Sus scrofa: one gene and its partners. The protein of the gene in region 1 purifies or fractionates together with the protein of each later gene. This does not show direct contact. Links are inferred from orthologs where the notes say so. Each region holds a gene or a part of one and is shown in the gene's direction. Other genes may lie near its edges.

Region 1 (5,772 bases):
GGGCGGTCCAGGTATGAGAACCAGCTTAGTGAACAGAAGCTGGTCCCACAAATGAGGAAGTGGGCACCAGCATTGCCCCCAAGGGGGCTCCGGTAGCCCTTTTAATTTCCAGAGTCTCGAATTGTAAGAGGGAGTTAATTGAACATATGTGTTTCAGTGGAGACAAGAATTCTGTTCTAGTAGTGACTGACTCACTGGGGTCAGAGGCGTGAGACGCGAGGCAGGACGATTTCATCTTCAGCTTTTTTTTTTCTTTATCAAACTATGTGTTCTGTATCTGATATTTATTTTTTAAAATTGGGTCATTTTAAAAATATGCTGTGCGTTTCAGATTTTTCTCTGAATATGTTCTCAAAACTCTACATTTCCCTCCATTTTCCAGTGAAAATCCTAGCATTTCCCTCTTGCACATGACCAAATAATACTTACACAGCCTTCCTAGAAAGTATGGCTTCAAAGGTGTGATAAACCAGCGATAGCAAAGGCCATCCATTTGGGATCTTTATGAGGACTTGTTCCAGCTGAAACGTATGCGTCCAAGTGTGATTGCTTGGGAAGTTCCCTTGTGGCACAGTGGGTTAAGGACCCAGCGTTGTCATTGCAGCGGCTCGGGTTCAGTCCCAGGCCCGGGAACTTCCATGTGCCGTGGGTGCAGCCAATAAAAGAAAAAGCGATTGATTAATATCTACATATGCTTTGTAATAAGTGATAGAAAGAAATGAAATTAGTGATGGCAGTAAATATCTTTTTTTCCCTCATTATTGCTATTTTAACATTTCAATATTTTTATACTTATTTCAGTTTTTCTTCGATTCCACACTGCCATCCATAAAGACAAACTACACTTAAATCATGATCGATAGAGTGAGGGGGGATTTTTAACTGGGTGAGTTGAAGGCATCAAGCTCATTGCCAAGAATCATCAAGGGCGCCGTTGGGGACAGATCTTCCAGTTATAGAGTTTATCGACATCTTGCCCCGAGCGTCTTTGAGCAAAGGGTGAAAAGCTAAGAAGGACGGTGTGTTTCACTCTGTGGGATCCGTGGGTAGAGGAACCTACCTGTATGCGAGTCGCGGCAATTACTGAAAATGAGCTGTAGGGTGGAGCATCCACTGTGGGTAGGAGATATTTTAAAGTACTGAGCACATCCGAGCCCCAGATGAGCAACAAAGCAGTGGGGGGCAGTGTCCTTATGAACTCGGGACAGTTGGGAAGGTCCTCCTCCCCTCCTTGGGTCCTGCAATTCAGACACGAGGAAAACAAATAAACTAAGAGCATCTTTTCTAAAGCTCTCCTTAGTCTATTTAATGAATACTAATTCGTTTCGTTTAATGAAATACTAATTCAAGGAGTTCCTGCTGTAGCAAGAACAGCATCAGCGGTGGTGTCTTGGGAGCGCTGGGATCCAGGTTCGATCCCCGGCCCTGCACAGTGGGTTAAGGATCCGGTGTTGCCACAGCTGTGGCTTAAGTCACAACTGTGGCTGGGATCTGATCCCTGGGCCGGGAGCTCCATGTGTCACAGGGCGGCCAACAACAAAAAAGAAATGCTAACTTTTTTTCTAAACCCTTTTCTTTCTTACAAAACTATCTCAGTAAGATTTACAGTTTATACTGTTGGTTTACAAATGTTCAGGTATTTGAGGTCATAAAGGTGGATCTGTTTGAAACCATAGACTTAGGGCCTAAAAGCCATCTCCTGAAAGGCTGGCGGAGAAGCAGTGTAGGAAGTAGAAGTCAGGCAGGCGAAGGCAGTGTTTCTCTGTGCGGCCCACTCCTGCAGGGCGCCTCCTGTTCTTTGGCCTGGAATGTTCTTCTCCACGTAGTCGGCTGGCTTCTTACTTCCTCCCTCTCCTCAGGTCTCTGCTCAGGAGCCGTCTTACTACGAGGTCTTTTGCATGACTGCAAACAGCCCTGCATCTGTCTCCTTTTCGCCCAGAGCACACATCCCCTCGGAGACTCCTCACATGCACCTGTTTGTTTGTTGTGGTCTCTCTCCTCCCACCACAACAGGGCCTTTGTTTGGTCCCCAGCGGCACGCAGTGAGCTCAGTAAACATTCGACCGTATTTCCTTTACATGAACACAAAGGAAAAACAAAAAGAACCTTTTTGTTCTAGAATTCAAACCTGTCAGTTCCTAATAGTGTAGACACTTGAAGGAAATTCTTTCTTTTTTTTTTTTTTTTTAAATGTTAAAAGTACAATTCACATCTTCACTCACTATTAACTTGATTAACTTTTACTGTGTTGCCTCTGCTTTTACCCTGCCACCCTGGCTTAGGTTCTTTTTGAAACAAGTTTCTGGGCAGTTAAGCCGCTCTAAGTGTTCTTAAGTATTTCGCCAGAACTGTAGGTGCTTTGCTGTAAGGAAGAGCTTCTGCGTCCATGCTTTCCTGGGAGTCATGCGTTGTAGGCAGAAAGGCACTTGTTTTCAAGAATAGAGATAAAGAACATTGCTTTCCAGACGTTTCATACTAGAGACTGTGATCCTCTGTGCATTTAACCTTAACAGGAAGGTTGAGTGTTAGGAGAATAAAACATATGCTCCTCGATTTTTGGCTGCAGATTAAAAGCCTGATTGATTTCTGCCAAACCTATGCCCCTAGCCTGTTACAAAAGAGATAACAGGTCCAAAATGGAGTCAGTTATCACCAAATGTCACCAAACCAAGACTTAATACCTAACTTAATTACAGGTTCTGCCTCTCCCAGGAATGGAATCTTAAAGCAGTCAATCTGGCATGACCTCGTCAGCAGTAGTAAGGTCATCTGCCTGGTAGACACCTGCTGTCCACTGAATTAAGGTGACCTTGCCACGCAGATCTGTTCCCTGCTAGAGTGACTTCCTCATCCCGTCCCCTCTGCCCGTAAAGGTCTTTCATTCTGCACAGCTCCTCAGGGCTTTCTGTCTGGTAGGTAGGATGCTGCCAGCATCGTGAATCGTTGAGCAGGAGTTCCCATCTGGCTCAGTGGTTGACGAGCCCGACTAGGAACCATGGGGTTGTGGGTTTGATCCCTGGCCTTGCTCAGTGGGTTAAAGATCCGGTGTTGCCGTGAGCTGAGGTGTAGGTCGCAGATGTGGCTCGGATCTGGTGTTGCTGTGGCTCTGGCGTAGGCCGGTGGCTACAGCTCTGATTGGACCTCTGGCCTGGGAACCTCCATATGCCGTGGGAGCGGCCCTAGAAATGGCAAAAAAAAAAAAAAAAAAACCAAAAAAATGAATCGTTGAGTAAAACCAGTTAGATCTTGAGTATTTCCTCAGCTGAATTGTCACGCTCTGGTTCCAGAGAGAATAGCCGGTCCCCGGGGTTCACGTGTGAAGCGACAGGGTGACTGTTGCGGTGAGTCTGCCAAGTACGGGGGAGTTGAACTCCTGTTCACGTAACTCAGACCCTCTTCTTTTTCCTCCCTGAAGAGCGTTTTGATCTTCCGACCTCGGGAATGAAGAAGAAGGTTCACTTCAGCGGGGAGAGTAAGGAGAACGTCGCAAGGAGCGAGACTCCTGAGAGTCAGCTCAGCTCCAAATCCAAGTGCAAAGACCTGAAGAGGAGGCTCCATGCTGCTCAGCTGCGGGCGCAGGCCCTGGCAGACATTGAGAAAACGTACCAGCTGAAAAGCAGGCAGATCCTGGGCATGCGCTAGCCTGGCCCAGAGACAGCGAGCGGCGAGCCGGGTCTAACACTGCCCGCCCTTCGAGGCTGGCATTCCCCTGCCGCGGCCTACACGCGTGCTGCCGTGAACCGTGCGTTTTCTGTAGGAAGCCTGATGTTTCGGGGTCGCTTTTGCTGTTCCTCGGCGGCAGGTGTGCCAGCGTCCACCCCGTGCATTTGTCTTTCTTTTTCTAAGAAGGCTTTACAGACAGAATGACTGTCTTGGCCAACTGGGCTTTTCATCCTCTGTGTGATTACTTCTGGAACCTTCGATGTTATATTCTAAGTGTTGGGAATTGGGGGGGATAGTAGGAAAACATCTTTACTCAGGAGCAGTGCTTACTGTGAAGTCTGAAGGACTGAGTGGTGTGCTTTACAGCTGTCCTGTCTAGAGTGAAAATTTAAGTCTGGGTTTTTAAATGTTCTTGAGCTTAGAGAAAACCTGGTCGGCCACTGATACGCTGGCATCTCGCGTGTAAACATCCCGTTGCTCTGGGGCGTGAATCTGTGACCTTCTGTGGAAGAGTTCATCTCTGTGATGTCTGTGTGCTTTTCCCCTTTTTATTCTGTGAATGTCCTGTGCCACCTCTTTCTGACTAAATAAAAGAATTCTTTAGTTTTCCTAGTCTCTGGCATGTGCCCATCTCTTGGTTGGAGGGAGTCTGTGTTTACGGCTCACAGGTTTGGAGGGCAGGCATGAGAACGTTAGCTCCCCAGGGCTGGGGGCACTTTGCTCTGCATCTCATTTGACCGACTAAGCCAGTGGTTCTTTCTGGGGGCAGTTTCCCCCCCCAGGGGATATTTGCAACATCTGGAGACAGTTTTTTTTAATGGTCACAATTGGAGGGAGGGTGCTGCTGGCATCTAGTGGGCAGAGGCCGGGACTGCTGCTAACCCCCTCCCCCCGCCCCCCGTGGTGCACAGGACAGTCCCAGGACTAAATGCCAACAGGGCCACGCGTGGGAACCCTGATCTAAGCTAAAGCTTGCTGGAGTTTGAAGGGAACTTGTTTTGGCTTTGGTGGATTTTTTTTAATATGTCTGACTTGTGATATGAATCAGCAGTCCTCGCGGTGCCCATCACATTTTTCATGTGATGTTTTCCTGGCAATGCTAATCCTTTTATCGAAAGAAGACCAAGTTCTGAAGGGTTTTAATAAACAGGAACAGCTCCTTTAGTAGCTGGTTTTGAAACGCTTTATTGACGTCTAGTTGACTCGCAACGTCGTGATCATGGCTGCTGTACAACAGAGTGACTCAGTTGTACATGCACACACCCATTCTTTTTTAGGCTTTTTCCCCCCCGTATAGATTCTCACAATATCGGGTAGAGTTCCTTGTGCTAGACAGCAGGTCCCCATTGGCCAATCATTCCATATACCACGGTGTGCATGCGCCAGTCCCAAACCCCTGTTTATTAGCCACGTTATCACAGGCTTATTACACAGTGTCGTTCCAGCAAAGACATGTTATCAAAACTCAGAGGCTGATGACCGCGGCTTTGCCGTATGCCGGCGTTACACCCCATGTCAGTGTTCAGTGTGATTCGCAGGTCCCAGGGCAAACTAAAAGCGTGGCGCTCCCTGTTTAAAAAAGCAGGAAACGAGTGCCATTAAAGGTTCGTAGAAGCGCCTTATCCTTTCTTCCAAGGTGTCTGCTTATTGTGTTATCTGCTGTTAAATCTTCTAAGCAAAATGAAATTTAAATTATTAGCATGAATTTTACCATTCGTCTTTTATACCGCACGATGCCAGTTTTAAAAGCAAATAGCAGCACGTTTAGCTCCTCTGTAGAATCACCAAGATTATACACTTCGTATTTTGCGACTCATCTGGGAGGGCGCCTCAAGCTGGCCAGAGGGGAACACACACACCTGCCTGTGACAGGTGATGGGGCCCTTGACTCTGGTGCTTGCTCTGCACACTGTCTGGCAGGAGAAGTCCGGCCCACAGCCCCGACTCCGGCAGATGCTCACTCCAAGGATCTTGCCCCTCCAAGCTGGGACTTTCTTTGTACCTCGATCCGAGTACCTGGATCACTTCTGCCAAGATAAGGCCTCTAGTTAGCTGTCCACCAGCCACGCTACAGGGCTGCCAGGCCCAGGAGTGGGGAAAGGCATTAGG
Region 2 (6,004 bases), on another chromosome or scaffold:
AAGGTTATTTTAAGAAAAACATTTAAGTTGATTTCTGACCCCTTCAGAACAATCTATAAATCCTAAGTATCTGGGAGAAGTCTGACCACAGGCAGACAGCAGAGGTAGTGCAGGTTGAGTTCCAGACCACCGTGATAAAGCGAGCCCCTCGATGAAGGGAGTCACGTGAACTTCTTGGTTTCCCAGTACATATACAAGTTATGTTTAGGGAGCTCCTTGGTGGCCTAGCGGCTAAGGATTTGGTGTTGTCATTGCTGTGGCTCATGTTCGATCCTTGGCCCGGGAACTTCTGCATGCTGTGGGTGCCGCCAAAAAAAAAAAAAAAAAAAAAGTTATGTTTATATCACTGCAGTATGTTAAGTGTGCAATAGCGTTGTCTTTAAAAATATGCATACCTGAATTAAAAAATACTTTATTGCTAAAAAAAAAATGCTAACCACCATCTGATAACAGGGTTGCCACAAAGCTTCAGTTTCTTAAAAAAGATAAAGCAGTATCTGTGAAGTGAAATGAAACAAGGTATGCCTGTAGCTTTTAAATACAAGCCTACAAAAGGTCCTTGTCTAATGCCACCACCTTCACGATGTCCCTTGTTGGTGTCACCAGTGGACCCAGGACATCTCTTTCCAGGGAAGTAAAAACAGGTGTGTGTTTGTGTGTCTTTTCATTTCTCCTCCTTTTCAGGTACTTAAATCATGCCCTGCATTAGCACAACTCTTTGTGCCCATTTTCCTGTGTAGGTTAGCAGCCAGTTGATGGCAGGACCTGTGGACATCATTGTGAGTGTTCACTGGCTCATAGAGCTGTGTCCTGCCCACGGTGATATCAGACCAGCTGCAGTATGCATGGCCTCAATCCTCCTCCCACAACCCTGGGAAGCAGGTGCTCAGACTAACACCTTTCCTCACCTTCCCAGTAAAAGCATCAAGTGAATGGAAACGGTCACTTATGCTTCCAAACCCAACTGTGTGCTACATGATAATATGATGCTGATAGAACTGCCCAAGGAAGGAAAGCTTAAACAAAATGCACAGGAAAATCCAGCTCATTTGATGCGATTTGAATTGGAACATTAGGACATAAGTTAAATTACTTGAGGGTCAGCTGGAAGGTCATTGCAATAAAGAGAAGATAAGATCTCTGCCATTTGATTTCAGGAGATTGTGTATAAATGTACCTCATCAAGGCTGCAAGGAGAAAAGGCATCAAAAGTGAGCAAGCAGATCTCAGAGAGATGAGGGGCGAGTTTTATCAGCTGGACAGTCACAAGAGTTTCATGCTATTGCGGTGCTTGGTACCCTTGCAGACTAGAAGGGTGACATCCGGTGTCTTCTCCTCTGAATGAGGAAGTCTTTCAGTGACTGCGTGGGAAGCCAGCACTGCTGAGGGGTCACTGGGACCATTTTTTAGTTCACCTAGAGAAATAGGAAGTACGTTCCTAAGTTAAGATTTATGAATGGAGAACCAGCCTTGTGTGTGCCAGGAATAGTCAGGACAGGTCTTCATCATTGTTTGGGGACTAACAGAGCATAGAGGCCACCTGGTCCTCAAGGTTATTAAACAGTATCAACTACAAAGCCCTTAACAACAAAAAGAAGTGATTTACCACACATTACAGGCTTGCGTAGGGTCAGTGGAAAGACAGGAGGAACTGTACGGACCCGAGGCGGTGTCAGTTCTGCTAACAACCACACACCATCCCAGAACATTAAACAATATCTGAAAATGCATTTCATGAAGAACAAAGGCAAGTCCATTCTCCCCATTAGAATATGGCCTCTGGTAGAATTGGGGGGAACATGCTAAACTGCAGCAAAAGCAAGGACAAAAGGCCGTCTCCGAAAGGGAGCAGGGCAAGCATCAAGAGTTACGCACAGTGCCTGGCACAAAAAAGTGCCTCGGACACTTGTTGCTGAATGAATTCGTCTACCTCTGTCATCTGTTTCCCAGGGCTAGATCCATAGAGAGGGGAGGAAGATGGGGCTCGTTCAAAACTGAAATCCTGCTGCTTTCTTTGAACAAGCAAAAGGAGTGAAAGGTAGCTGGCTTTGTACCACAGATTTTAAGTTCAAGCATCGCAGGGTGGTACTGTCACATCCTCTTAGCCAGGTTCATAACTTGTGGGAACTTTTTAACAAGTTAACATATTTAAATGTGTCTGTAACAAGAAGCACCAGATAGGTTCTGATTTACGCGTCCTGCCAGGCTGACCTGTGAGCCTTTGAGGGGGAGACCCCATGTCCCGTGCATTTTTGTGGCCCAGACGCCTTCATACAGCAGATGCTGCAATAGCTGTGGGACAAATCTTGGGGAGCCCGCAGTCCTCATGTATGAAGATAGGGCCACTACTACCAATAAGTTGTGAGGCTTAAACGGGATTCAGAATCAAGATATTTATGTCAGGTTTAAGAGCAGGGCTCTGGAAGCACCTAGAGCGTTTTCATAAATAGGGTCCAAGCCCATATTTTAATCGGCCTGAAGTGCTGCCCGGGTAAGGGTTTAAAAAAACAACAACAACAAAACCGAAGTGATTCTATTGAGCAACCAGGACTGAGCACCGCTGCATTGGAGGCCGTCAAAGTGGCTCCAGCGGCTGGAGACCGCTCTCGAGCTCTCGCGAGGAAATCCGGGACCCGGAAGTGCCCGGAGCGCGCGCGCCGGGCGGCGGGGAAGCTGCGGCGCGCGGCTGGCGCGGGGCGGGAGGGAGGGAGAGGGTGCCTTCCCTGCGGTGGGGCATCTCTCGGGTACCGCCGCATTTGGGGCTCTGCAGGAAGGGCCGGGGACCGAGGTGCCACAGGCACCAGGCCGGCCGCGGAGGGGGTCCCTGCTGCCTTCCGAGTGGGGTGTCCTTGCAGGGCCGCCCCCATGTTGCGTTTCGCGACATGTTTCCCGTCCTTCCGGGTGGTGGGAGAGAAGCAGCTGCCACAAGAGATCATTTTCCTGGTCTGGTCACCCAAGCGGGATCTCATTGCTTTGGCTAACACGGCAGGCGAGGTGAGTGAGCCGGCGTGCCACCTGTCCACCCCGCCCCTTCCTTCCAGACCTGCTGAAAACTAAGGGACTGGATGTGGGGCAGGTCATTTATATGCCCATTTCCTGCATTTTATGGGCCAAACAAGTTTCCACACAGCTTGACACAGTCAGACAGCCCTGCATCCCCAATTCTCTTTTAGTCATTTATGTGTTAAATAGGCTTTTTAAAGACTCACGATGTGTCGTTCATGATCTAGACATGGTAGCGGGTCCACAGATTCTGCCCATAGTTTACTTGCAGTTTAGACCGAAGAAAAATGACCTATTGTCAAGCTTCAGCTGCGAATGACCATGCATATATAGAGAGCTGCCACAGAGGTTATATTAAGAATCTATATTTCATTGTACAAGTTTTACAGTATAGGTTGGATAGCTACCTCCCATTAAAAACACTTTGAAGTTAAACCCATGCTTCCCTGGATTCCTGATGGAATGTGCAGGAGTGTTGTCAGTTAGCATTTCTAGTTCACATGATATTGCATTTCATCCAGTGTGACCCAGTTGTACCCACCTTTCTGCTGAGAGTTCATCGTTACCTGGCAGCCGTATTGTAAGGAAACCCTCACCCGTGCATCTTTACTCCTTTGACCTTTTGGCAGGTTTCCTGGTTATCTGGCCAGATGAGAGTTGTGTTATGTGCAGCCAAGTTTGGAAATGAAGTGGTGAAGAGAATATATCTGCCAGGAAAACTTAGCAGCCTTCAAAGCTATGTTGACTGTCAGGACATTGTTGCCAGGGGCTTTCTCAAGGCCGTCTATGAACCCTTCTAGCCTCCCACCCCTGCCAGGATGCTTTGGCGCTCCGGGACTCTAGAGAGGAGTGCGAGATAGTACAGCTATAGTAGCAGGAAGGAAGGGAGAGAATTGGGGCATCAGTGTGATCACATGGATGTAATTGTGGTCACTTGTTGCTTCCGTTTTCTCAGTGAAGAAGAAGGAGTGCTGTTTAGGAAGAAGATGGGAGAAGAAAGTATTGGAAGCTTGAGAAAAGAGAGGCAGTGAAAAACTGACAAGTAGACTAGTAAAATCTAATGGGATTGTTGATCAGCATCAGGAGCCACATGAGGTTAGTGGTTTTGCAGTTTGATGGAAACTAGTGCGCTGGGTTGTATGTATGTCTCTTCTATTCCATTCAGCTGTGTGGGCGCAGGCATGATTGGATTTAACCTGGATTGTTGTGACAGTGTGACAAAGCAAGAGGGATGCAAGGGAGCTGAAGTTACATGCAAGAGGGATGATTGGGATGATGAAGTTTGAATTCTGACCCGATGGAGTAGGGAAGGGAAGGCGTGTGTGGGGTGAGGGACACTGAAGAGGTGGTAGAATCAATGGATTGGATGTCTTGCTGAAGCTGAAGAATTGATGTTGGATATTAATAGGAACGAATAGGAAAGATACAGGCAGTTTTGGAAAGTGGGAGCTTTGGAACCGAAGATTATGGCAGCATTTGTAGTTGTTGGTAATAATAAGGTCACAGGCATGACCCTGGAAGTGACTGAGTGACTGAGGTGAGGTAGAAGATGTGATCATTGACGGAGAGGTAGTTGAGAACCAAAAAACCAGGACATTGCAGCTCTTGAAATCACCAGGAATGACCACGAGTGGTATTGGAAACCATGTGTGAGCCAGACAGGAGTCCGAACCTCCCAGGAATGGGGCGGCGGGGGGGGTGGCCTAGGGGTCTGTAGATGACTGCAGCTAAGAAGGATAGCAGGTGGTATGGTCTGATTGCATGTGACTCAAAGTTAGAGGATTTTTAAAGTGAGAAAAATTCCCTGCTCTGGCACAGTGGGTTAAGAATCCAACTTCAGGGAGTTCCCGTTGTGGCTCAGTGGGTTACAAACCCTGCTAGTATCCATGAGGATGCTGTTAGATCCCTGACCTTGCTCAGTGGGATAAGGATCTAGTGTTGCTGCAAGATGTATTGTAGGTTGCAGATGTGGCTCATATCTGGTGTGACTGTTGCTGTGACATAGGCGGCAGCTGCAGCTCTGATTCAGCCCCTGGCCTGGGAATGTCCATGTGCTATTGGTGCGGCCATAAGGAAAAAAAAAAAAAATCTGACTGCAGTAGCTCCAGTCCCTGCAGAGATAGGGGTTTGATCCCTGGCCTGGCACAATGGGTTAAATGATCCAGCATTGCTGCGGCTGTGGCGTAGGTTGCAGCTATGGTTCAGATTCAGTCCCTGGCCCCTGAACTTTCATATGCTGCAGATGAGGCCATAAAGTTAAAAAAAGAGAGAGAAGACCTCCCAGGAATGGGGGGGGGGGGGCGGTGTGTGGCCTAGGGGTCTGTAGATGACTGTAGCTAAGAAGGATAGCAGGTGGTATGGTCCACCATCTGGTAAAGGCACCCAAGTGTGTTATGCTATAGCCCTGAGGACTGAACTCCCCTCTTCCATGTGTTGTTACAGGGACAGTCCTTGTACAGGAAAATGCTCTAAGTCTTACAGCTTAAAGGTCATCTGTATCAGTGGTGCTTTACGAAAAACAAAAGCAAAGAACAAATTGTTTTTATAAACAATATAAGAAGTATGTAAAAATGCCCTGAAAACATATCGATTACAGATAACAGCTATTTTTGTCTGTACTGATTTTGCTCAGATCTTATTCATCTTTTACTTTAAAAAATGTGTAAAATTCGAGAACTTAAAATAAGTAAAATTAGAGAACTTTTTGTAAGTTTTTAATCTTCTGGCCCAGTCGTAGCACGGCCATGCAGAGCAGCCACCACCTGAGAAGCCTGTAGGGAGGCAGCGTTTTCAGGTGAGAAGCACCTTTCAGGGAGGAGAAGGAAGGTCCTGATTCCTGACTGTGAATTCCAGAGGGCACACAGCAAGGGTTTCAGAAGTAAGGAAAAGCAGAGGTGGGCTCGGAAAAGAGCATTGAGTCTGGGGGCTGAACCGTTCCTTGGGAGTTCTGGATTCCCTGTAACCTGGAACAGGCGTGCAGGGTGCTCTGAGGTTAGCTGTG
Region 3 (5,726 bases), on another chromosome or scaffold:
AGAGAGGTGGCGGATGGAACTGCCCCCAGGGAGCAGGATGGCCGCCCTGGGGAGCCAGGCCACCCCGGTGCAGCAGCCAATGCAGGGCTTTTCCTCCTGGAGAGACACATCTGGGAGACGCCCCGGCCAGGCCTGGGCTGGAGGAAGGCACTTTCCTGGGAGCGGCGGGCCCAGCTTTCTCCAGACTCGGTCAACAACACGTGCTTCCCAACCTCCAACCTCCACCCCACCCCCAAAGGGACAGACAGGTGAAGAGAGAGGGACCCGGAGGGGACTCGGGATGAGAGCTGGGCCCCAGGCAGTGTGACCAGGGAGGGTGGGGCAGTCAGCAGTCAGAGCTGGGCTGCATCCCTGGCCGGGGGACCCGGCCCCAGGAAGAGTGTCTCCCTGCACCAGGCCGAGACCACGGCCCACGGCCAGAGTGCCTTCCCTGAAGCTGGGCTGGGTGCTGGGCTTGGGGAAGGGGTCAGCAGTTCTGAGGGGGAAGGTGGGCGACAAGCGTCTCGGGACATGCTTAGCGGCACCCCTAGCGGTCCCCAAGGCCAGCAAGGCCAGTCACAGGGAAAGTCATGCCAGGCCCTCTCCTCGCCCGCTCACAGAGGAGCCCCACTACAGCTGAGCAGGGGTTTGTGTTCCGGCTTAGGGTGGCCAGCAGCCCCACCCAGGACACAGGCGGCAGGGTGGCGTGTATCTTAACAAAGACAACCTTTATTGACGTTACGGCCCCAGGGTCAGCTCTGAGGTGAAGGAGGGCCCTGGCCCCTTCCCACTTGCCTGGGCACCTGCTGGCCAAGTGATAAGGTGAGGGTGACATGATGCCGAGACTAGAAGCGGGGTCTTCCCTGCAGCCCAGGGGTGTGGGGGGGCCCTCAGAGGCCGAGCAGAACTGACCGACCCAGAACCTGTGTGAGCACAGGGCCAGGACACCCAGCTGGTGGGCTGCAGCGAGGCCTTCCTTGTCACCCAGAGCCAGTGGTGGCTGGCAGCTGCCTCTCGGCACCCAGAACAAGGAGAGAAAGCAGCCGCTGCCGTGAAGAACAAAGAGGCCGTGAAGACTTGCTGGAGGCGAAGCCCTAGGTGGGCGCGGTGGAGGCGGGCCCCTCTGCCGGCGGCCTTGTCAGCTATCCTTGCCTCCACTGCTCTTCTGTTCTGAAGCTGTGGCCTTGGTCAGGTTCCCTGCTTCCCTCTTCAGAACGCTAAGCAGAGTCTGCGAGCTCTCCAGGATCTGGGAGCAGAAACGCCAGTGGTTACACCATCCCCCCTCTGGGAAGCTCCCACAGCCCTTCCCTGCCAGGGCCCTTTTCCTCCTGAGTCTACCCTACGCTCCCTGCAGAGTCGCTCTGGCTCCTGCTGGTCTTAGGGAGTTACGCAGGAAGAAGTACCGTCCAAGCCACGCTAGCAGCTGCTCTGTCACTCCACAGTGGGCCCTCGGCCTGCCTGTCGGTGGGCCCTTCTGGGACTTGTCCCAACATGCAGGCCCCAAGTCCCACCTTGAGGTAGGCGGCCTCTGTCTCCGCGATGGTCCGATCAAACTCGTTACGAGAGGCGATCTTTCGGGCCAGATTCTCGTTGACTCGGGCCAGCTTCTCGGTCAGCTGCCTCACTTCATTCTGCAGCCGCTGCTTCTCATCCTCCTCCTGCTGGATCTGTCGACACAACTCTTCCCGCTTCTGACACAGCTCCTCGATGCCTGGGGTGGGCCGAGAGGGGCAGGGGCTGTGGGCCCAGGGCAGGCAAGAAGGCACCGCCCCCCACCCCCCAACTCTGAAGCCCGCTGCTCGGTAGGAGAGAGAAAGGCAGCGGAGGACCGGCTGCCGGCTGGACCACCTTCCGCCCGAGCCAGGCCAGTGTCTTACGTCCCGGGGGACTCAGGGTTAAAGTAGGCACCGCACCAGAACCCTCGGCGCGGGGCTGGGAGGCCGTGCGTGCTCAAGCCGCTTGTCCTTCGCTCGCTCCACAGATACCAAGCGCCCGGGGCGGGCCCCACACCGGGGCTGTGCGTCGGGCAGGTCCGACGGCGCTGGCGCCGCCCGGACAGGAACAGCCGCTTACGGACTGTACAACACACTCGGCCGCGCGCTGCGAGCCGACCACCGCCCGGGCCCTGCGGGCCGGCGACGCCACGCCCTCCCCGCCAGCCCAGGGAGCCCCGCCGCGCGGCCGCGCACATTTGACCAGCTCGTTGTTGTAGTTCTGCAGCGCCGCGCCCTGCTGGGTCATGGTGGCCGTCCGGGGTCCCGGCCGCTCCAACCGCCGCTACCGCATCCCTGCCGGCGGGCCCGGATTACGTCACCGCCGCGCGCGCGCGCGCCCAGCCCTGCGTCATCTCCCCGCGCCACACGGGGCGGCTCTGGGAGCTGGTGGGCGCAGATGGCGGCGGCGGAGCAGCAGAACGACCCCGGGCCTGCCCAGGAGCTGCTGGTAGCGTGGAATACCGTGAGCACCGGGCTGGTGCCGCCGGCCGCACTGGGACTGGTGAGGCCCGAGAAGAGGGCGGCGGGCCCGCGTGGGGTGCCCAGGACCCTGCGCGGCCTCTCCTCGGGTTTCTACGGGTCCCTGTGCCGCTTTTCTCCAGACTCCCTCCTGGTTCGACAGCCCTTTCCGAGAGTCGGCCGTGCATCCCTGCGACGAAGCGCAGCGGCGTTTCCGTGGGCTCCCCTCCTCTCTGCCTTTCCCGCCTTTGCCTGCCAGTAACCGTCTTCTCCATCTCTGCGTGGTGTTTCCTTCCACTCACAGTTTTCTGTAATCCAGGCATCCTCCCGGACCAGCGGCGCGGTCCCTCCAAAGGAGGAGGAGCTCCGGGCGGCGGTGGAGGTTCTCAGGAGCCACGGACTGCACTCGGTCCTGGAGGAATGGTTCGTAGAGGTGCTCCAGAATGACCTGCAGGCCAGCATCGCCCTCGAGTTCTGGAATACCATCTCCCAGCGCGAGAACTGCGCGGACGAGCCCCAGTGCCTTCTGCTGCTCCTCGATGCTTTCGGTCTGCTGGAGAGCCGCCTGGATCCCTACCTGCGGAGTCTAGAGCTCCTGGAGAAGTGGACTCGCCTGGGCTTGCTCATGGGCACTGGTGCCCAGGGCCTTCGCGAAAAGGTCCACACCACCGTGCGGGGCGTCCTGTTCTTTTCCACCCCCAGACCTTTCCAGGAGATGATCCAGCGTCTCTATGGGCGCTTTTTGAGGGTATACATGCAGAGTAAGAGAAAAGGGGAAGGGGGCACAGATCCTGAACTGGAGGGGGAGTTGGACAGCAGGTACGCCCGTCGCCGGTACTACCGCCTTCTGCAGAGCCCGCTGTGCGCCGGGTGTGGCAGTGACAAGCAACAGTGCTGGTGCCGCCAGGCGCTGGAGCAGTTCCACCACCTCAGCCAAGTCCTGTGAGTACTTGCACCTGCGTTGCCTGTTCCTCCTGGCTCCTGCTTGCTCCTCTGGAGAGAGCTGGCGAGCCGGCTGGGGGCGGTCTCTGTCACCTGTCCTGGAAGTCAGGGACATGGCCACAGGAGGGGCTCCGGGAACATTGTGCTGGGAGTTTATGCCTTTCCACCTGGTCACAGGCGTGTTTGTCACTCACACTAGCTCAGGGTTTCACACGTTGCTTCCGTTAAGACCGACAGGATCCCAAATTTTCTGGGCCCTACAGCGCTCTGCTGTGCCTTCTGTAGCCTGTCGGGGTGGCGGTGGGGGAATGACGTTTATCCTGCCTGTACTCGCGAAAGATGGGCTTGCTGTTCTTCTGTCTTTAAGACAAGTTAGGAGATGAGCCCGACAGGCTGGGCGAACAGGTTGCTTTTGCGGCCTTTGAAAGGAGAGGACTTTGTTGGTGTCACAGCCAGGTCTTGTCGTGTGGACCCTCTGCTCTCAGTGGCCACTTGGGACAGTTTTGTTCCTTTCAGTGAAGGGGCAGCAGTGCAGCTTTAGGCTTTGGGCTGGACCGAGGTGTGGCCCATTACACAGAACCTGTACTTCTCGGGAGTCTTGCTGTCGCAGTCACGACATGCGTCGATGACTCAGGCAGCTGCAGTTATTTGTATGTGGCCAGAGTAGTGCTGTATTTAGCCGTTGTCTGAGGGCCCCTTCCAGGAGAGGCGTCCTCGGCCCCAGCAGCCAGCCATGGCGATTACGTGGGGGAGGCCCTCGCCCCAGCCTGGGCAGAGGCCCGCAGGGGAGGGCAGCAGGGATTTGCCAGTGCTTTGTCCTCCTGGCGGCTTTTCCTCTGAGCCCATGGAACAGCTGTGCCCCGGAGAGGGCGGCCCTGGGGAGGCGGGGCGAGGGCGGGTGCATGTGTGCTCTGTGGGCTCCACGGCCAGGACCCCCCTCCAGACACAGGCTCAGTCTGCTGGAGCGGGTCAGCGCGGAGGCCGTGACCAGCTCCCTGCGCCAGGCGACCCGGGAGAGGATGGAGGACCGCTGCCGGGGCGAGTACGAGCGCTCCTTCTTGCGCGAGTTCCACAAGGTGAGGCGCCTCGGGCTCTGTCCCCGGAGACTAGGGTGGAGGTTTCTTGGACTTAGAAGGGGCTGGTCTGGAGTTCCCGTCGCGGCGCAGTGGGTAACGAATCCGACTAGGAACTGTGAGGTTGCGGGTTCGATCCCTGGCCTCACTCAGTGGGTAAGGGATCTGGCGTTGTCGTGAGCTGTGGTGTAGGCCGGCAGCTGTAGCCCTTATTAGACCTCTAGCCTGGGAACCTCTGTGTGCCTCGGGTGCGGCCCTAAAGAGACAAAAGAAAAGTGGTCAGTGTGTGGAGACTGGGGTGAATTAGCACTTTGCTGGGGATGGAAGCTGTTTTGGTGCTGGGTGGAGGCTGGCCATTTTGTGCCCACCCCGGTGACAGCGAGGAGGCGTCTATGCCGTTGCCGTGAGGTCTGTGCAGGATCACATGGCTGGAGGCAGTGCCAGGGCCTGAGGTGTCCCACTGAGGGGGCTTCGGGATATCCAGGCTGTGGGGCGTGGTTCAGGGCTCTGCTCTGGGGCCCACCACGCTGCTCCCACTTCCCCTGTCCCCTCCCCCGCGTCCTGGCCTGGGTTTCCTGACTGTGGATGAGCTGCGCGTGGCAGTGGTGTTTAAAATGAGCATGCCCGCTGTGGGGTCTGGTGCGAGCCCAAGGCCCCAGGGAAGGTCTGCCGCGCCCAGGCAGCGGTGGGGGACACGCGAGGCCTCCGTGCCGCAGCGCCTCCTGTCAGCCCACCTGCCCACCCTCAGGGACGTCCTGCCAAACGCTGCCTGGGGGGCTTGCTGGGTGTGTCACCCGCCGGGTGTGTCTGTCCACCCGGATGTGGCGCCCTGCATCAGGGCCACTGTTGGCAGAGGTGAGCGTGGGTTCCGGGTGCTCTGGCCTCGGGGATTCCCCCCCACCCCACGGCTGTGCTCTCCCCCCAGTGGATCGAGAGGGTGGTCGGCTGGCTGGGCAAGGTGTTCCTGCAGGAAGGCCCCTCCAGGCCCGCGTCGGCGGAGGCCGGCAGCACGCTGCGCCGCTGGCGCTGCCACGTGCAGAGGTTCTTCTACCGCATCTACGCGGGTCTGCGCATCGAGGAGCTCTTCAGCATCATCCGAGGTCAGCCCCGCCCGCCCGGGGCACCTTCCCAGCCCCTCTGTTCTTCAGCTCTTGGCAGGGGGTGCTGTGGGGGGCAGATCTGGGCCTTGGGGTCTTGAGCAGAGCTGGCCCCAGCCCGGGGTCTGGAGCCTGGTCTCTGTTCTGGGCAGGCCCTTTGGGCAGCTCTGGGCTGGCTCTGG
Region 4 (5,288 bases), on another chromosome or scaffold:
ATTAGGAGTTCCCATCGTGGCTCAGTGGTTAACGAATCGGACTAGGAACCATGAGGTTGCAGGTTTGATCCCTGGCCTTGCTCAGTGGGTTAAGGATCTGGTGTTGCCATGAGTGTGGTGTAGAGCTCTGGTGTAGGCTGGCGGCTACAGCTCCGATTGGACCCCTAGCCTGGGAACCTCCATATGCCACAGGAGCGGCCCAAGAAATGGAAAAAAAAAATTGGCAAATTAGAAGAACCACTTTGGGGCTTTATTTTGTAGCAGACTGTAGTTGTGGACACCATTTGGGATAACATCAGATCTTTCTGAGTGGGGTTATATTGAATCCACAGTTCTTAGAAGACTTATTAGAAAGTCAATTCTAAAAGTTTTATGAACTAGGATTTTAAGAGGCCAGCTTGAATTGTGCTGCTTTCTGTTTTATAGGACGGCCCCCTGGTCCTGAAATGGAATACTGCACAGACAGAGAGTCCTACTCTTTAGCGGCTGGCTTGGCCCTGGGCATGGTCTGCTTGGGGGTGAGCACAGTCTGTCTTCAGTTACGACATCTGCTTTTAAGACAATAACCTTGGCACTTTACTCTGAAGACCACTCTGCCTTATTGTGACTTAACTTACCCAGATTCTCAGCTCTTCCTTCTTTTCTGGATATTTCTCAAAGTGCCAGGTTTGGGAAGGGAGAGAAATTGTAGTGAAGAGTGGGGCTTTAAGGTTTCTTTCCCCTGGCTTAGATGTAAGTGTTTATGAATGAACTAAGGGAATGACGTTTTTCAAAAGGAGCTCAAGACATAAGATGAAGAAGTGACAAGTCACTCAGTCAGAAAACGGTGAAAATGTGTGTATGATGGGAACCCTTAAGGGTCTGTAGTCATTATTAGAAATAAATCGTAACCTTCTTTTGGAGCCTTGGTGTTCACTCAGTACCCCAGAATTTAGCCACAATTGCAGCTGCTTTGTGACAGAATGCAGAATCACCCTGACCCATCTTTAACCCCATCCAAGAGACATAGTGTTGAGTTAGCAGAAACATTTCATTAAATGAGTTTGTCAGCTAGAATCTAGGTCTTTGAAGAACTGCCAATACATTGTTACAGTGAAACTGAATTATATAAAGAAAATTGACTGTTAGGTTTATGATTCTTCACATTTGATGCGTGAACTAAAGAGACAGATGATACAGTGCAAAAGCATCATACTGGGAATTGGGACCTGAATTCTGGTCATGACCAGTGAGTCGTGCCATTTAACTGCAGTCATGTCTGCTGGTTAAGCAACTTGATAGACTGGAGCCAAATTGCCTTGTTTTATATGCATTAACTATGTAGCCCTATGCTAATATTATGTAGCCTTGAGTGTAATCTCTCTGTGCCTCCCTTTTCTCACCTTTAAAACTGAACTGTTTAATAGAATTATATTAAGTAAGTTAATCAATGTTAAACACCCAGAATTTCCCTGGAAGAGAGTTAAGTGTTCAGTAAGTTATTATTATAGTTACTATTGCCTGAATAGTTCATAGTAGTGAAAGGATTCACATATTCATAGTTCAGATTTCATTTACCTACCTAGTATTTTTTTAACTCTTAATGCAGTTAACTGTATTTTGAAACCTTTGTGTATTTTATGAAATTATATGCATTATATGTATAATGATTTTTAATGAAGTATTTTAATTGATAAAAAACCTCAGGTACCTGGCATTGAAGATAGTTTCTTCTTTTCTTTGTCATTAGTATGTGTTACGGATCTCATTCCATAAGACCTCCTTTCACATGTGTGTGATTTTGCTTTCCAGCATGGTAGTAATTTGATAGGCATGTCTGATCTCAATGTTCCTGAGCAGCTTTATCAGTACATGGTTGGAGGCCATCGGCGCTTTCAAGCAGGGATGCACAGGGAGAAACACAAATCTCCAAGTTACCAAATCAAAGTAAGTCCAGATCAAGCAACAGATCAACATTATGGAAGCTAGGAAGTTAATATGAAAATAGTAGTTTTCATGTCAACATTTGTAAACATGTTAATTTTAAGCATAGGCTAGTATTCAGAAGAATTTAAAATAATTCAGAACTCTTTTATACAAATAAGATTTTCTTTCGATAGGAAGGAGATACCATAAATGTGGATGTAACTTGTCCGGGTGCCACTCTTGCCTTGGCAATGATCTACCTAAAAACCAACAACAGGTACTGCATCCCTTGCGGTGATGGTGTGACTTCTTTTCTGACCTCACTAGGAACACTAAATAGTCTTACTGTGTTTATCTCCCCTGTGCTAGATCAGCCTGGTTTTAGTGCTGTCAAATGCAAGTTATATAGATTTTTATCCAAAAACCATACATTTTGTTATTTTAATGATATTTGATAGTATAGTTGCCAGTTTCTAGCCACTTTTGTTTTATAGTTGTCACTGGCAATCAAACAATGTCCAAATTCCTTTCCATTAATTTTGTAGGTTGTTTGTTGTGAGGACTTGTTAAATTAGAAATACTTAACATTCTTATATTCCTGGTTACCATTCATAAAAGTGGTTTCTAAGCTCTTAGTTCAAGAGCTTGCCTAATGACCATACCTTCTGCCTCCCCAACTCCTAGTAAATAGTGCTGACACCTGAAAGTAGACCTTTGGTGTTTATTCTTTGACATTTTGCATAGAAGAGTAAGTTGGACAGGAGACAGACAGTAAACCATGTTCTAAAAGTCTTAATTTAAAAAACTTTCTAAGAGTCAAGAAATTTTTCAAAGTTGTAAATTCCTTTTTTAGAAAAAGTGAGTATTTGCAAAATTAACAAGGTGGTTAAAACCAGATTTATTCATCGTTTTCATAAAGGCATATGTCATTGCTTCCTGAGCACTGGAGATACTTCACTGAAGAAACAAAACTAAAGATATCTGTCCTTAGGAAGCTTATAGTAAGGCATACCTACATACCTAATAAATTTTACATTGGAGAATGTAAAATACTATGGCAAAAAGATAGGGCAGTTGTTGGAGTGGAGAGAAAATTCTTGAAATTTGTCTTGGGATTCTTGATTATCTTGCCCTCTTTTTGAGCAATAATGTTTACTGATATCCTCCACCAACAGATCCATTGCAGATTGGCTCCGAGCTCCTGACACCATGTATTTGCTGGACTTTGTGAAGCCAGAATTTCTCTTACTTAGGGTATGATACTTTGCTATTTTTCCTCTCTGTTAACATGAGGAGTCTATTGTGATTCTTAAGTTTAGCTTGCAAATATAAATGTCTCTCTAAGAGAGCATTTTACTGTGGATCCATCGTGTGTGTGTGTGTGTGTGTGTGTGTGTGTGTGTAAAATTGGTAATATTCTTTTGAAATTCCCCCGGTATAACTGTAGAAATTGCCAAGAAAGGCAACCGCATTGATATGTAAAACTTGGAGTGACATTTCAGCTTCTCACATTATTATTCAAAACTTCCTACTAAGCAATAATTGACTAGGGCTTCATTACGTCTTTATTTTGCACTCTTTTGTTATTAAGGATGCAATCATACTATTAAAGGCATTATTAGTAACAGAAATTGTTTGACATAATTGCTTCAAATTTTTCCTCTGCCTTGATGGTTAAATGTACTTAGCATATGAAAGGCTTTAAATTATGGTGACAGAGCTGTATGATTTTTCTTTTATGGAACAAGTTTTAAAAACTTCTTCCAAGGTATCCAAACTTGGATGATGACGAACTCAATTTTAGGGGGTCTTTTTGTGGTAAAATGTAAATCTTCAGTTTATTTTAATGAGTTAGCTTAGGTTGATACTATATACCTTATTTTTCAAAATGTTCATCAGTTCAGAACTAATTCTTAATTGTTCTGTTTATGATATTGACTTTGTTACAAAATCTATGAACTTTATCTGCTGTAACTAATTTTTCTGTATTGCATTTTTAAGACACTTGCTCGATGCCTGATTTTATGGGATGATATTTTACCAAACTCCAAGTGGGTTGATAGCAATGTTCCTCAAGTACGTATGTATAATAAGTATTATATCTTTAATCACGTGAAATTATGATTTCTTGTGGGATTTCCAAAACCCTGAAAGTACTTTTTCTCTTGAAGGCAGTATTGATGTTTTTCTTGAAAACATAGGAACTTTCATTTTAAGATTGTGTGCTGAGCACAGACCATACTTTCCTTTTTCAGTTACAGAGCCCTAGAAATTGTGATTTTTTTAAAAACTAAACGTCTCAAAGAACCCTAAAAAAGTATTCTGACATTTTTATCCTAATTAGGTACATATTTATTTAAGGTACTGTTTTACCCTGTGATAATTTTTTATATTGTATATAATAAGTGTTTTCAATTACTTAATGGACTTGGTGTTTATGATTTGATGATTTGCAGTACATAAGAAGATTTTATCATAAGCATCTTCTGAATACTTATTGGTTTATTATAGAAAGCATCCTGATGCTTTCTGAACAGTCTTCTAAAAAGAATTATAGGAATAGGAGTTCCTCTTGTGGCTCAGTGGGTCGGGAACCTGACATAGTGTCCATAAGGATGCGGGTTTGATCCCTGGCCTCCCTCAGTGGGCGAAGGATCTGGTGTTGCTGCAAGCTGTCGTGTGGGTCACGCATATGGCTTGGATCCCACATTGCAATGGGTGTGGCATGGGCTAGCAGCTGTAGCTCTGGTTGGAACACTAACCTGGGAGCTCCCAGGTGCTGCAGGTGTGGCTGTTTAAAAAAAAAAGAAAATATAGGAATAAATATTAAAAGTTTTACTTCTGTGTACTTATATGCATACGTTTAGAAAATATATACCTTTATCTTTTTTGGGGGGGAGGGGTTCTGTAACTGCAGCATATGGAAGTTCCCAGGGGTCAAATCAGAGCTTCAGCTGCTGGCCTATGCCACAGCCATAGCCACGTGGGATCCAAGCTGCATCTTGGACTTCCACCCCCGCTCGCAGCAACGCCATATCTGTAACACACTGAGCAAGGCCAGGGAGCGAACCCGCGTCCTCATGGATCCTAGTCGGGTTCGTTACCACTGAGTCACGATGGGAACTCCACCTTTTTTTTAATTTGTATTTTTTAAGTGAAGTGAATCAAGTAAGTTCTTGTTTGTTAAAGCTAGATAATCTGTGTTTTTTAAAAAACATTCTTATTCACTACCTATGCTGAAAGGGAAGTGTTTGTAAACCCTAGTTATAGATTAACGTAGATGGTTTAGTTTAGCTTGGGTAGTGAATCTAGTAACAAACTTCACCTTTGGTAGGTAGGTAGGCTTAATACTAGAAGCCTACCTTCTAGTAGCCACATCTGCA
Region 5 (5,816 bases), on another chromosome or scaffold:
TATGGATCAATGGAACAGAATAGAGAGCCCAGAAGTAAATCCACACAACTATGGTCAATTAGTCTTTGACAAAGAAGGCAAGAATATACAGTGAGGAAGAGTCTCTTTAGCAAGTGGTGTTGGGAAAGTTGGACAGACACATGTAAATCAATGAAGTTAGAACACACCCTCACACCAAACATAAAAATAAACTCAAAATGGCTTAAAGACTTAAATATAAGACACGACACCATAAAACTTCTAGAAGAGAATACAGGCAAAACATTCTCTGGCATGTGTCATACTAATGTTTTCTTAGGTCAGTCTCCCAAGACAAAAGAAATAAAAGCAGAAATAAACAGCAAAAGACACCATAAACAAGCCAAAACACAATCAATGAACCGGGAGAAAATATTTGCAAATGATGTGACCAACAAGGACTTAATCCCTGAAATATACAAATAGCTTATACAGCTCAATAACAAAAAACCAAACAACCCAATTGAAACATGGGCAGAAGACCTAAATAAACATTTCGGCAAAGACGATATACAGATGGCCAATAGGCACATGAAAAAATGCTCACCATTGCTAATTATTAGAGAATGCAAATCAAAACTCATAATGGCCATCATTAAAAAGTCTATAAGAGGAGTTCCCACTGTGGCCACAATGGGGTCATCAGTGTCTTGGGAGCACTGAGATGCAGGTTCGATCCCCAGCCCAGCACAGTGGGTTAGGAATCTGGCATTGCTGCAACTTCAGTTTAGGTTGCAGCTGTGGCTCAGATCTGATCCCTGGCCTGGGAACTACATATGCTGAGGGGTGGCCAAAAAAAGAAAAAAAAAAGGTCTATGGGAGTTCTCACTATGGTGCAATGGGTTAACAATCTCACTGCAGGATATCCTGCTGTGGTGCAGTGGGTTAATGATCTGGCTTGTCTCTGTGGTGTTTCGGGTTTAATCCTTAGCCCCAGGCAGTGGGTTAAGGATCCGGCATTGCTGCAGCTGTGGCACAGGCTGCTGATGTGGCTTGGATTCTGTCCTTGGCCCAGGAACTTTCACTTACCTTGGGTTCAGCCAAAAAACGTTAAACAAACAAACAAAAGACTCTAACTGCAATGGCTCAGGTTGCTATGGAGGCTTAGATTCAATCCCTGGCCTGGGATACTCCATATGCTGCGACAAATGCTGGAGAAAAAGGAACTCTTCTACACTGTTGGTGGGAGTGTAAATAGGTGCAGCCACTATGGAAAATGAAGTATGGAGATTCGTCAAAAAACTAACAATAGAATTGCCTTATGATCCAGCAATCCCACTCTTGGGCATATATCCAGATAAAACTACAGTGCAAAAAGATACAATTACCACTATGTTCATAGCAGCACTATTCACAAGACATGGATGGAAACAATCTAAATGTCCATCAACAGATGAATGGATAAAGAAGATATGGTATGTATACATACATAAAACGGACTACTACCCAACCATAAAAAATAATGAAATAATGCCATTTGCAGCAACATGATGGACCTAGCGATTATTAAGGAAAAGTCAGTCAGAAGAAGAAAGTCAACATCATGTGATATCACTTATATGTGGAATCTAAAATACAACACAAATGAACATATATATGAAACAGACTCAGACATAGACAACAGACTTGTGGTTGCCAAGGGGGAGGGGAGTGAGGGAGGGAAGTATTGGAGGTTTGGGGTTAGCAGATGCAAACTCTTATATGTAGGATAGATTAACAAGCACAGGGAACTGCAGAGCACGGGGAACTGCAGTCAATATCCTGTGATAAACCATAATGGAAAATATGAAAAAGAATGTATGTAAGTACAACTGAATCAAAAGAATGTATGTAAGTACAACTGAATCACTTTGCCGTACAGAAGAAATTAACGGAAATTATAAATCAATTATACTTCAATCAAAAAAGTAAAGCCGCCTGCAGGTGCCCATAACACCTGAGGGGGGGCGTGGCACTTTTTGCCTAGAGCTCCTGTGGCAGCCAGTGCTGCCCCTGGCGCCTGATTGAAATATTTAATTCCAGCTGTTAGGAATTCCTCCCCCACCTACAAATAACTTTTATGATGTTAAACACTTTTTATTAATTTATGAAACACAAATTCCTCTCAGACGCATTTCAATTGAGCATGTATACATTCTGAGGTGTCTTTTGTCTGCAGCCAACTGTAAACCCTCAATAAAGACTGCAGTTCAGAAGGCTGGTGTAACTCTTACTAAAAACAAAAACCCCAAAAACCAAATTGTACCGCTTCACACGAGGCATGGCGGGGAAGGAATTGAGGTTTGTTTGTTTGCTTTTTTTCAGGCATTTCAGTAGCTGCCTATTATCTTGGGGGCGGTGCCTCGTTTGGATCCGATGGACCCCGGCGGGGCCGCCATTTTGGAGTCTTCTCTAAGGAGCGTCTACCGGCTTTAAGCGCTGGTGCCGCCGCTCCCCGCGGCCTGGCTGGGCGGAATGAATGTGATAGACCACGTGCGAGACATGGCGGCCGCGGGGCTGCACTCCAATGTGCGGCTCCTTAGCAGCTTGTTACTCACAATGAGTAATAACAACCCGTGAGTTGAGGCGGGGAGCGGCCTGGGGCTGAGGAGAAAGCGGTGCGGGTTTGGGAGCGGGGGCTGAGGGGTCCGGAGACTGGCGGGAAGAAGCGGCTGCGGGCTTCAGCTGACGTTCCGGGGTCAGCGAGGGTCTCGCTGGGCAGAGCCGACTTAGGAACGCTAGTTGAGTTTACTAGGTCCCAGCGGTAGACCAGGCACTGGGATGAGCTCCCTGTGGGGGATTCGGCGAGCGGCGCTTTCTAGATATGGGAGGCGGAGGCTCTGAGGACGACCCTGGCGAGCGTTCCCCGAAAGTTAGGAGCAGAGGTTTTCTGAGGCACCTGTCGCCGGGCATTGCGCCTGTCACATCGTTGGGCTAACTCCTCCCTTCCCTACCCCTTTTCGAAGGACATTTCTTCGCTCGCCAAGGCTCAAAGAAGCCCAGTTCTAGTTTTAGACTTTCGTCCCACATCTGAGATTGATCTTTCCTTTTGGGTATATCAGCAAGGTTCTCTTAATCGCCCCCGAAAATGGGAGACTTTCTTGGTAAGTGGGAGTGGCGCCTTTTTAAGCAGTGCCTCTTTCTGTTTGCAAAGCTGCCATTTTTAGAGTTTTATTACAGGTACAGCACAGGGCTGTTTCCAGCTTTGAGTGCATATCGTTCCTCTGCTTAAATTTCTCCAAAGTGCTTAAATTAACATTCCTTCCCACGGCCTAGGAGGTCAAATATATAGCTCTCCTGCTCTATCTCACCTACTCTGCCCTCTGTACTTCAGCTTCCCTGTCTATTCTTTCTGTTACTTGAACAGACCAAGCTGGTTCTCAACTCAGGACTTTTGCATTTCCTGTTCTGCTTGGAATCCTTACCTCAGAGCTGCCTCCTCATGTAGGTTTCAGTTCAGATACATCTCTTAGAGAACTCTTCTCTGGCCATTAGAATTGTCCCTTATTCTCACTATTTTATTCCTTTGCTCTGTTTAACATTTTGCGTCTTTTTTTTCCCCCAAACTGAGGTGTAATTGACATATTAGTCTCATGTGGAACATAATGATTGGATATTTGTGTGTTTAGTGTATCTATTACTGCACATAGTTACAGATTTTTATCTTATTTTGCTTTTTTAGGGCTGCACCTGTGGCATAGGGAAATTCCCAGGCTAGGGGTAGAATGAGAGCTGCAGCTGCCAGCCTACACCACAGCCACAGCAACGCAGGATACATAACCCACTGAGCAAGGCCAAGGATAGAACCCACATCCTCATGGACATTAGTCAGGTTCTTAACCTGCTGGACCACAATGGGAACTCTGAATATTTTTTTCTTGGGATGAGAACTCTGTTTTTTTGGCAGCGCCCATGGCATGTCAGGTTACTGGGACAAAGATTGAACCTGCACCACAGCAGTGACACTAGCTGCCGCAGTGACAACACCGCATCCTTGACCTGCTGTGCCATGAGGAAACTCTGTGATAAGAACATTTAAGATCTATAGTCTGCATCACTTTTTTGTGTTACTGGTTTTTTGTTTTGTTTTGTTTGTTTTTTGTCTTTTTGTCTTTTTCTAAGGCTGCACTCATGGCATATGGAGGTTCCCAGGCCAGGGGTCTAATCGGAGCTCAGCCACTGGCCTACGCCACAGCCACAGCAATGCCAGATCTGAGCTGCGTCTGCAACCTATACCACAGCTCACAGCAATGCCAAATCCTGAACCCACTGAGAGAGGCCAGGGATCGAACCCGCAACCTCATGGTTCTTAGTCGGATTCATTAACCACTGAGCCACAATGGGAACTCCTGTTTTGTTTTTGACCTCACCTGCAGCGTGTGGAAGTTCCCAGGCCAGGGATCAAACATGCACCCACAGCTGTGACAACACTGGATCCTTTAACCAGCTAGGCCAACAGGGAACTCCTTTTGTGTCACTCTTTAACATCTAATGAAGTGAGCACAGTGCTTTTGTGCAGCAAGCACTCAGATGTTTATCATTGAATGTGCTGAGGAAGGGCATACAACCTCAGGAAGGTAAAATACCATGTTCAAGTTCACACATTTAATAAGAGGAGGAGCCACAATGTCTGGATTTTGGTCCTCCTGACTTGGAAGTCTCCATTCTGACCCACCGCAGTCTACTGCGTTTAAATGACATTATAATCTTCTACTCAGGATGGACCCATTTACCTTTGGCCTTGCTCTAGATGCTGTCTGAGCCACTTAAAAGTGTGTTGCCACTATTGCTACCTATTTCATTTTCATTAATGTGCTTTTGGACCTCACTATGTGAGACCCATCATTTTACCACTGTCTACTTAGTACAGACAGTGTGGAGCACTGGTCTCTGTTAGCCTTCTTTGTTTATTCTGGAGGCTTTCACCTAGTTCTGGGTGATTTGTCAAAGCATAGTGTCTACCATTTGGAATTTATGCACCAGTTAGTCATTGTTTTGGGTTCTCAAAGATGTTACAAGATAGTTGGAAGGAGTTTGATCCTCTGATTAGACTTAGCCCATTAAGTTAAACTGGCAGTTTACTTCCTAGCTTCAAGAGGTATATAAATTTTTAGAGTTTTCATTTATATTTGAAAATTTCTTTGTTGCCAGCACACACCATTAAAAACAAGGTCCATCTGTAGTTTTCGAGACTGAGAGAAAAAAAAAAAAATCGGAGTTCCCGTCGTGGCGCAGTGGTTAACGAATCCGACTAGGAACCATGAGGCTTCGGGTTCAATCCCTGCCCTTGCTCAGTGGGTTAACGATCCAGTGTTGCCGTGAGCTGTGGTGTAGGTTGCAGACGCGGCTCGGATCCCGCGTTGCTGTGGCTCTGGCGTAGGCCGGTGGCTACAGCTCCGATTCGACCCCTAGCCTGGGAACCTCCATATGCCGCTGGAGCGGCCCAAGAGATGGCAACAATAACAACAACAACAACCAAAAAAAAGACAAAAGACAAAAAAAAAAAAAAAAAAATCAAACAGTATTAAGGGGTATGCAGATAAGTGTCTGACCTTGAGTCTTGAATCTCACTCCATCATTTTCCTTCTTCAGAGGTAACAACTTAGCACTTTTTCATGTATCATTTCAGAGATAACCTATGCATTTATAAGTAGGCATGTATGTTATATAAATATCTGAATGCTTTCTCTGTAGTATTTCTATCAAATCAACTATTTTCTTTCAAATCTTTTTTTTGGTGGTGCCAGTGGCATGTAGAAGTTCCTGGGCCAGGGATTAAACCTGAGCCACTGCACACACAACGCCAGATCCTTAACCCA

Evidence for each region.
Region 2: the proteins of NEK2 (region 1) and ANAPC4 purify together in Homo sapiens (affinity purification with mass spectrometry; 6 studies listed by BioGRID and IntAct, with this or other methods). This does not show direct contact. The link is inferred for Sus scrofa from reciprocal best matches to the Homo sapiens genes NEK2 and ANAPC4.
Region 3: the proteins of NEK2 (region 1) and ANAPC2 purify together in Homo sapiens (affinity purification with mass spectrometry; 4 studies listed by BioGRID and IntAct, with this or other methods). This does not show direct contact. The link is inferred for Sus scrofa from reciprocal best matches to the Homo sapiens genes NEK2 and ANAPC2.
Region 4: the proteins of NEK2 (region 1) and ANAPC1 purify together in Homo sapiens (affinity purification with mass spectrometry; 3 studies listed by BioGRID and IntAct, with this or other methods). This does not show direct contact. The link is inferred for Sus scrofa from reciprocal best matches to the Homo sapiens genes NEK2 and ANAPC1.
Region 5: the proteins of NEK2 (region 1) and ANAPC7 purify together in Homo sapiens (affinity purification with mass spectrometry; 3 studies listed by BioGRID and IntAct, with this or other methods). This does not show direct contact. The link is inferred for Sus scrofa from reciprocal best matches to the Homo sapiens genes NEK2 and ANAPC7.

The regions. Positions count from the first base shown.
Region 1 is NC_010451.4:131,556,251-131,562,022, forward strand, and holds the end of NEK2 (serine/threonine-protein kinase Nek2), read left to right. Parts: coding exon 1-11; intron 12-2,696; coding exon of another isoform or gene 2,697-2,803; exon of another isoform or gene 2,804-2,804; intron 2,805-3,415; coding exon 3,416-3,642; 3' UTR 3,643-4,277; downstream 4,278-5,772. UniProt on the Homo sapiens protein: Protein kinase which is involved in the control of centrosome separation and bipolar spindle formation in mitotic cells and chromatin condensation in meiotic cells.
Region 2 is NC_010450.4:19,298,607-19,304,610, forward strand, and holds the start of ANAPC4 (anaphase-promoting complex subunit 4), read left to right. Parts: upstream 1-2,646; 5' UTR 2,647-2,865; coding exon 2,866-2,994; intron 2,995-6,004. UniProt on the Homo sapiens protein: Component of the anaphase promoting complex/cyclosome (APC/C), a cell cycle-regulated E3 ubiquitin ligase that controls progression through mitosis and the G1 phase of the cell cycle.
Region 3 is NW_018084833.1:710,197-715,922, forward strand, and holds the start of ANAPC2 (anaphase-promoting complex subunit 2), read left to right. Parts: upstream 1-2,315; 5' UTR 2,316-2,370; coding exon 2,371-2,475; intron 2,476-2,751; coding exon 2,752-3,374; intron 3,375-4,317; coding exon 4,318-4,450; intron 4,451-5,372; coding exon 5,373-5,547; intron 5,548-5,726. Other genes in the region: SSNA1 (Sjoegren syndrome nuclear autoantigen 1), read right to left, coding at 1,118-1,225, 1,491-1,690, 2,169-2,220. UniProt on the Homo sapiens protein: Together with the RING-H2 protein ANAPC11, constitutes the catalytic component of the anaphase promoting complex/cyclosome (APC/C), a cell cycle-regulated E3 ubiquitin ligase that controls progression through mitosis and the G1 phase of the cell cycle.
Region 4 is NC_010445.4:44,570,118-44,575,405, forward strand, and holds part of ANAPC1 (anaphase-promoting complex subunit 1), read left to right. Parts: intron 1-426; coding exon 427-518; intron 519-1,791; coding exon 1,792-1,926; intron 1,927-2,099; coding exon 2,100-2,182; intron 2,183-3,080; coding exon 3,081-3,159; intron 3,160-3,906; coding exon 3,907-3,981; intron 3,982-5,288. UniProt on the Homo sapiens protein: Component of the anaphase promoting complex/cyclosome (APC/C), a cell cycle-regulated E3 ubiquitin ligase that controls progression through mitosis and the G1 phase of the cell cycle.
Region 5 is NC_010456.5:31,786,301-31,792,116, reverse strand, and holds the start of ANAPC7 (anaphase-promoting complex subunit 7), read left to right. Parts: upstream 1-2,366; 5' UTR 2,367-2,472; coding exon 2,473-2,573; intron 2,574-2,963; exon of another isoform or gene 2,964-3,085; coding exon of another isoform or gene 3,086-3,101; intron 3,102-5,816. UniProt on the Homo sapiens protein: Component of the anaphase promoting complex/cyclosome (APC/C), a cell cycle-regulated E3 ubiquitin ligase that controls progression through mitosis and the G1 phase of the cell cycle.